Drosophila melanogaster: one gene and its partner. The protein of the gene in region 2 interacts with the protein of the main gene of each other region in a pairwise test. Each region holds a gene or a part of one and is shown on either strand. Other genes may lie near its edges.

Region 1 (3,409 bases), on a different chromosome or scaffold from region 2:
TACGAACGAGACCTGGCTAGGTTCATTACCCAGGAGCGGGAGAAGGTAAGAATACCGATCCGATCAAGTTAAAATTGCGTCTTTAAACACCAGTTTCCCTTTTTAGGTTGGCTCACAGTACACGACCCTGCGTGACTATCAGAAGTTGTGCTTACAAAAGTACATTCAAAGGGATTTCGTAGAACAGTTGCTGAAATACTCTGGCAAACTGGAACTTTACAACCAGCTCAAGTCGTGGGTCAAGCCGGACTTCCCGATCAGGGGAAATGCTTTGGCTCAGCGTGGTCTGAACGGAATGAGGCTTGGTTTGGTGATGGATGAACTGAAACTTTTGTGGGCAGACAGTGATTTTCAGCTAACACACGACGATTTACTGAAATGGATTCCCAACGTACTGAAAAAGATACCAAGCGCTCCTGGTAAAGTGAAGCGAATGAAGTAGTATTGATTACATTTAGATGTAATCGATGTAAATAAATATATGGGTTTCCCTTGAATTTTCAGATAATTTTCATTTCTTGATTTTCTTTTTATTTCCTACGACTTTGTAAAAATTTGGATCGGTCGCTTGAATCCTACTTTGCAGTGCTCCGGTATGCCCATAAGTTTCATTTCGGCAAAGCCCACTTCCGGGCTAAGCAGATATTCGGTGAAATGATCAGGTCGGAATTTAATTGCATTGTAGTTATCTCTTATTTGTTCCTGAAGAGATAAATGTACATACATTAAATTAGAATATTCTCTATCGATTGTCCGTCTAATAAAGCTCACCGATAGCTTCTTGCGCCTCTTGTAGCCGTCGAAGGACTGAGGTTCCAGGATCAGCTTGCCGCCCGGGCGCAGCTGCAGGTACATGCGTCTGAAGGCCTGCTTCAGGCCGGAATCACAGAAATTAAGGTGGATCCACTTAGTGACAGACAGGCAGAGTATGACGTCGAACTGCGGCCGTTCAATTTCGAGCAGGACGTCGTCCTCCAGGACGTAGTTCCCGTGCACAAACTGTATGTGGGGTATCCCCTGCCCCGGGGTTGCGTGACGTTTCAGGTGACTGACGGTTTTTTGGGCATCATTTATTAGCCCCCGATCTATGTCCAGGCCCACGAGGCTCTTAACCTCGAATTTCCTGGCAATCTGGATGGACAGGTGGCCAGAGTTGCAGCCGATGTCAAGCAGCTGCTTGTTCCGAAACAAATCCGGTTGCGTGCCAAGCACGTCCAGGCGTATGTCGTGAAAATCCTTGTTCAGGATGCGCTTGCCGTAGTAGTGCTTATAGTTGCCGTACTTGAAGTTAAGGTCCTTGTTTTGCATGGGCTTTCCGTTTAGATGGAGCCGTTTTTTGGGACTCTGCGCAGGCGGACGGCTTGTGGCCTCCACATTTGATTCCTCCTTTTTCAGTCTTTTGGATTCCACTTGCTTTTCATCTAATGTTATTACACATTTTCGCTTTTTCGCACATTTTTCGGCTTGTTTGCCGGTCAATGGCGTATTGTTGTTGTTCTCCAAATCCATTGTGAAATCCAAAGTATAAGAATTCATTGGTATGTTAAAATGACTTGAGGAACTATTGATGTCTCATTAAATACTCACTACATATATATCAATGAGTTTATGCCCTTGCCCTTTTATATCTTTAAAAACATACAAATTAAAATGTTTACCACATCTTGCGGTAATTTCTAACTTAGAGTGACCGTTTTAAATACCACTTTCCGCACAGATGATAAATATACCGAAATAATATAACTGTATATAGCACATGATGTAAATTTATTTTATATGCTTTACTTTCCCATAGTTTATTATTTATTCAAATTTATTTAAGTTGGCGTAATCAGTATATTGTAACTCAAAGCTCTGCCGGGACTTCCATACCTAAGAAGTTGTTATTATTAAACATAAGATACATATGTTTGTTTACATGATAATTTACGCATGTAGATTTCTACAAAGCCTGTAAGTATGCTATAAAAATCGAAAAAAGACCCTAACTTGAAGTGCAAATAAAATTGATTTAGAGCATAAGTTTAAACGTGGCTGATGTCACCAAAAAAAACGGGCTGTCCTTGGAAAATAAAATTAGGAGCTATTGTTGCATAGCAGCTCCTGCCCTATTTTATGGTATCCCAGTGTACGGTTTTGCAGCTAAAGCCCACCTAAAAAAAGTTCGAGTAATCACTGGACGTGAGAATCACTGGTGATCGTTAGTATATAAGAAATGTTTATATCGAACGTGATCTCAGTCACAAAAATAGGGGACAAAATCCAGAAGATGGCCAAAAAAATCACACGAGAGACTGGATTTACACCCCAACGCGGACCTTCGAATTGTTATAATGGTTATCTCTCGTATCCCCAATACAAGTTACCTCTATTTATATACATATATATATGATCGAAACTGCGTCTATATCTCTACAATCCGCATGCTCGATCGTATAAGTAAAATTTATAATTAGATTAAGTTGCCTAGGTGGTAGTAGTACGCTTTTTCTATAAATAAACTCTTCTTTCTAATATAAAATTTAAAAGTCAATTTAATTTGTTTTCTGGCTGAATGAAATGAAATTTTTATATACTTCAGAAAATAAGTGGACACTAGAAAGGAAATCAATGAAAGACTATAATGAAAATACCCAAGTATCTATACGATTTTTTATTATACCCGTTACTTGTACTAGAATCGTTGAAAAGTATGTCCCTTCTGCCTGGATCTAATCGATTTGTCCATGTCCGTTTGTCCGTTCGTCCGTCCGTATGAAAGTCGTGATCTCAGGAACTAGAAAATGTTGAGATTAAGCATGCGGATTGTAGAGATATAGACGCAGTTTCGATCATACTTCCAGATGAGTAACGGGTATCTGATAGTCAAGGTACTCGACTATAGCATTCTCTCTTGTGCTACATTTGTGTTTCTTTTTTAAAATATGTAATATGTAATTTCTTAAGTGCGCATATACATACGTATCTCCCAACGGTGTTAAGCAAAAAAATTGTTTTCGCCATTGATTTTATTCCGATTTCTGCACAGCCATGGCCATTTCGGTTGGAGGTAAATGCTTTTGCTCAATTTACATAACAAAGCCCGCTTAATGAAAGCATAATATATGTTTTTGCAAATTGAAATCCTCGTTTTGTTTGCCGCATCGGCTAAAAGTGTCGGCTGCAACCACGCATCATACAGATTCCTAACCATCCGCGCGTGCCGCACGATGACCCTTATCGGTGAAATGGACTGGGGAGAGAAATACGAACAATGCGATGATAGTTTCGGCTAGGTGAGGACCAGTGGTCAGTTAAAGTGCGGCCAAGGGTTGAACGGGAAGGGCCGGCTCGTGGCAACTGCCCATCACGAGAACTATTTATAGATCCTTACTCATACCCATATTTTACTATTCAGAAGGTCCTTTAA
Region 2 (3,756 bases):
ACCAGCGGCGGCAACTTGTGCTTAGTGAGCGTGTTTGCCTCCATTTCGGTTGCCATTTCGACTCCGTTTGCCTTTTTCCGTCGAAGTGTGTGGTCAGCTGTGGTCAATGATAAAAGCGAAACGATAATTTCCGTTCGTGGAGCTGGGTGGCAAAGTGACCGTTGACATGCAAATTTCCATTTAAGGCGAAAGCTTTCTAGGTGCCTTGGAGTTGCTTTTTGGGATGAGCACAGGTGAAGGTCACAGTACATTCGAAAGTTGCAGCAATTCTCCAAGAACTTATACATTAAAACTGATGCCTATAAAAATGAAATTATTGAATAAATCTTATAAAATCCAAAATAAGTTAAACTACTTCTCCCCTACCATCTTAAAGATACTCTACCAGAGCTAATGGTAACTTAATTTTATGTTGTCCCCTGCTGTAGTGGCTCCGAGTGGAAGCTCCAGGCCACCGCCCACCGAGTCGTGTGTCCCTGATGGAATTCAGTGGTGCTGACATTCGCCACCTGCAGCTCCTTGAGGTAATCCAGTATTCTTGGAACGTTGGCCTTGACGCCCAGCATCGTGGTGAAGATTCTGCAACGCAGAGAAAACCAACGTTAATTCAATCTCAGCAGCTAATGAAGATTGACTCACCGCACACGCTCCTTGTTCTCCAGACTCTCGTCTATAATGCGTTGCACAAACTGTACCTCGCCACCCACGCAGGTGAGTTCCTCCTGGCTTCCAGTTCTGGCATTATTGGGTGCTGGTCGTCTCTCTGGATTCCTGGTATTGCCGCCTAAGGGATTTGGTAAGTTCGAGTCGAAGAAGGGTGGATTGCACAGGCAAAATTGATACTGCAACTGTTGCTGATCCTGCTCAAAATAGCTCTTAAAGATGTTCGTGTTGTCTGGTTGAGCATAGACTTCTATAAGGCTTTCCATGTGATTTCTCTTTACATTCTCCTTGGCGTATTCTATGTTTTGCGGTTTCGATTCCAAAGCCAACATGTGCCAACCATTTTTCTTGGCCCCAAGGAGTGAATAAATGCAGGAGGAGCCGCAGCCTGTGAGGAATTCACTTAGTAAATCGTTGTGACATACTAACCATAGCTTACCTATATCTATACCACGTATGTTCTGCAAATTTAGAGGTTCCATTAGATCCTCCAACCACAAAATGTAATTCAAACGTAGTGCTAATGTGGGCACCAAACTTCCGGGTGCAAAATCCACATCTAAATCGTAATATTCCTTCAACAGCATTTTGGTCAACTCACGAAGGGTCTTTTCATTGCGAAAGTTCACAGAAACCTTGCCATTGAGCTCCTAAATTAAGCAATATTTTATTAAAATCAATGTCTAAGCAAAACAAATAGTTTTTACTTACCAACTGGCACTGCTGCCGAAAATCTTTGTATTTTATAGCCATTTTGGTATAGTCGGGCTGCGTGCGTAACACATTACGTGGATGCATGCCGACTATCTTTTGGTTTCCCTTAGTTTTTACCATATTTCGTTTTCAAAAAATCGCAATTGTTAATGAAATAAAATGCCGCCGAAATTCGAACAGCTGTTTATTGCAGCAGTCCGGCAACTCCAGCGAGCAAGAGATGACACCAGCTCCTCTAATTGGTAGTTTTATTTGGCCCTTCTGTGCTATCAGTGACTGGTCACACAGCCACTTGTTGATTCAACTTTTGTAAACAAAAAAGTAAACTTAATGTCTTGGCCTGGCAAACTGCTAGTTACCTACGAAAACTTTACAACCGATTTGCCAGTCCTTAGCATTGACAAGAAGCCATATGGATGCCCTGCTTCCTGCCACTGCAAGTGCAAGTGCTGTCGAGGATTCAGGGAGAAGTACGTGGCATTCAATGGGGAAGGGGAGACCATATTTGGAACGGATTTCTCCAGCGAGTTATGCGAAGACGTTCAGAAAATTATGCGTTTCCGAAGCTCGGATATGCTGCTATTACTGCGCACAGCACAATTACGCGATAATTTCTGGACCAATGAGTATTTTAAGGCTGATTTACAGGACGATTTTCGAGCAATATTCGATGCCTTCGAAGAGAAGAACCGCAAAGTACAATTGGAAAAGTTAGCTGCCATTCTGGATACAGTGAGCAGCGGCTACAGACGTTCAGTTAGCCAACTGGCAGGCCAGGAAGCACATGGAGCTCTGCGTCCCAAAATTGCAGCTTTATTCCTACCAGGACTGCGCTGCGATTGCTACAAATGTGAGAATCTACCGTGGAAAAAGCTGCAGGACGTGGAGGATCATCAAAAGACGCATCGCTATTCAGACAACTTTCACTGCCAGATATGCTACAGGCGATTCTATCTGCAGCACTCGTTAACCTCACACATAATCAGAAAATCCACAAGCTCGCGGGAACTTCACGAAAACAAGAGATATAAACGACTACTGGAGAATCAGAAGTCACAAGAGGAGAAGGAACTGGAGCTATCACTTAACAAGGTAGAGGATATCTTGGTGCCAGTTGCCGAGGACCTGCAATCGTACTTTAAGGATGAATCGAAACATCCAATTCAAAAACGAAAGACTTCTAGCCTCAGCAAATGTCCAAGTTGCGCTCAGAACTATGGCTTCTCCTTTAGCCACCAGCTGCATATGGTTAAGCATAGACGGGAAAGGCTATATACGAACTTCCCTTTTCACTGTTCCTTTTGCAACAGGTCGTTTCTCACCCGGAAATTCCTACGTAAGCACCAGCAGAGGGTTAGAACATTCAGTACTCTGCTATATCGCCCCTTTAAGTGTCCTCACTGCACATGGAGATTCCAACTGAAGTCTGCCCTCGATTCACATGTACTGCGAATCCATGAACGCAGAAAACCCTGCCTAATATGCAAACTACCAACCTCTCGTCTATGCTGCTCTGCTCATACCTCTAAGGAATGCAATAGAGCCATGCAAAAATATCGGGATAAAATGCGTCCGTTGAGAGAACCTCCAAAGGGAGGCTGCAGGAAGCAACCCACTCCAGTCTGCAAAATCTGCAATAGGAAGTTCACGAGAAAATTTTTCCTTGAGGAACACATGAACAAAGCTCATTTGAACAAGAGGAATTTCACCTGCGAAATCTGCGGAGCGAATTTCTACAGTCAGGGCACCATGCAAACCCACCGAAAAGCAGTGCATCTTTTAGTTCACACCGTTCAGTGTGAAGTTTGCGATCTGACCATTAAATCGAAGGGAAATTACCGCAGGCACTGCAAATCTCAAAGCCATAAGGATAACCTTGTAAAGTTCGGGAAAAATAATGACAAAACAAAAGATAGCAATCGCCGCAAAGGGGCAAGAACCACCGATGAAAAGCTTGATATTGAAGCAAGTTCGTCAACAAACACATGTATGACATCAGCAAATAAAAGTACACATAACTACAAGAAAATGGGCATAAAAACTAAGCAGACCCACTTGAAAACACCCTGCAGGTCGAAAAAACGTGTCAAAATTAAAATCTGTGAAACCTGCGGAAATTCAATTGTGGGAAGTATGCAAAGACATTACAGATCCATGAAACATAAACTGAACTTGATGGCACAAGCAAAAATGTTCAAAAAATAATATAATTTTCAATATAAGGTTTAACTTCATAAAAATAAAAAAAAAATATTTTTCTTATATTTTTTGGGATGAATAATTAGAACATCAAATCAAGATCAAATAATTTATTGTAAGCACTGATGTTAATATAAATATATATTTATTCCTGACTAGGAATACCAGTTTTTAGAAGAT

The links. The genes of interacting proteins can lie anywhere in the genome.
Region 1: the proteins of CG7544 (region 2) and CG1239 interact in binary tests that used the Drosophila melanogaster proteins (3 or more experiments, as listed by UniProt).

The regions. Positions count from the first base shown.
Region 1 is NT_033777.3:5,731,795-5,735,203, reverse strand, and holds CG1239 (uncharacterized protein), read right to left. Parts: upstream 1,692-3,409; 5' UTR 1,588-1,691; intron 1,525-1,587; exon of another isoform or gene 1,518-1,524; 5' UTR 1,510-1,517; coding exon 772-1,509; intron 703-771; coding exon 538-702; 3' UTR 502-537; downstream 1-501. Other genes in the region: CG2100 (uncharacterized protein), read left to right, coding at 1-45, 107-442. UniProt on the Drosophila melanogaster protein: Probable S-adenosyl-L-methionine-dependent methyltransferase that binds and stabilizes U6 snRNA, probably by adding a methylphosphate cap at its 5'-end. Required for U6 stability, but not stability of 7SK snRNAs, other miRNAs or tRNAs.
Region 2 is NT_033778.4:15,145,707-15,149,462, reverse strand, and holds the start of CG7544 (uncharacterized protein), read right to left. Parts: upstream 1,604-3,756; 5' UTR 1,498-1,603; coding exon 1,375-1,497; intron 1,314-1,374; coding exon 1,103-1,313; intron 1,052-1,102; coding exon 640-1,051; intron 580-639; coding exon 408-579; 3' UTR 386-407; intron 300-385; exon of another isoform or gene 293-299; 3' UTR 1-292. Other genes in the region: CG8089 (uncharacterized protein), read left to right, coding at 1,708-3,582. UniProt on the Drosophila melanogaster protein: RNA N6-methyltransferase that mediates N6-methylation of adenine of U6 small nuclear RNA (U6 snRNA).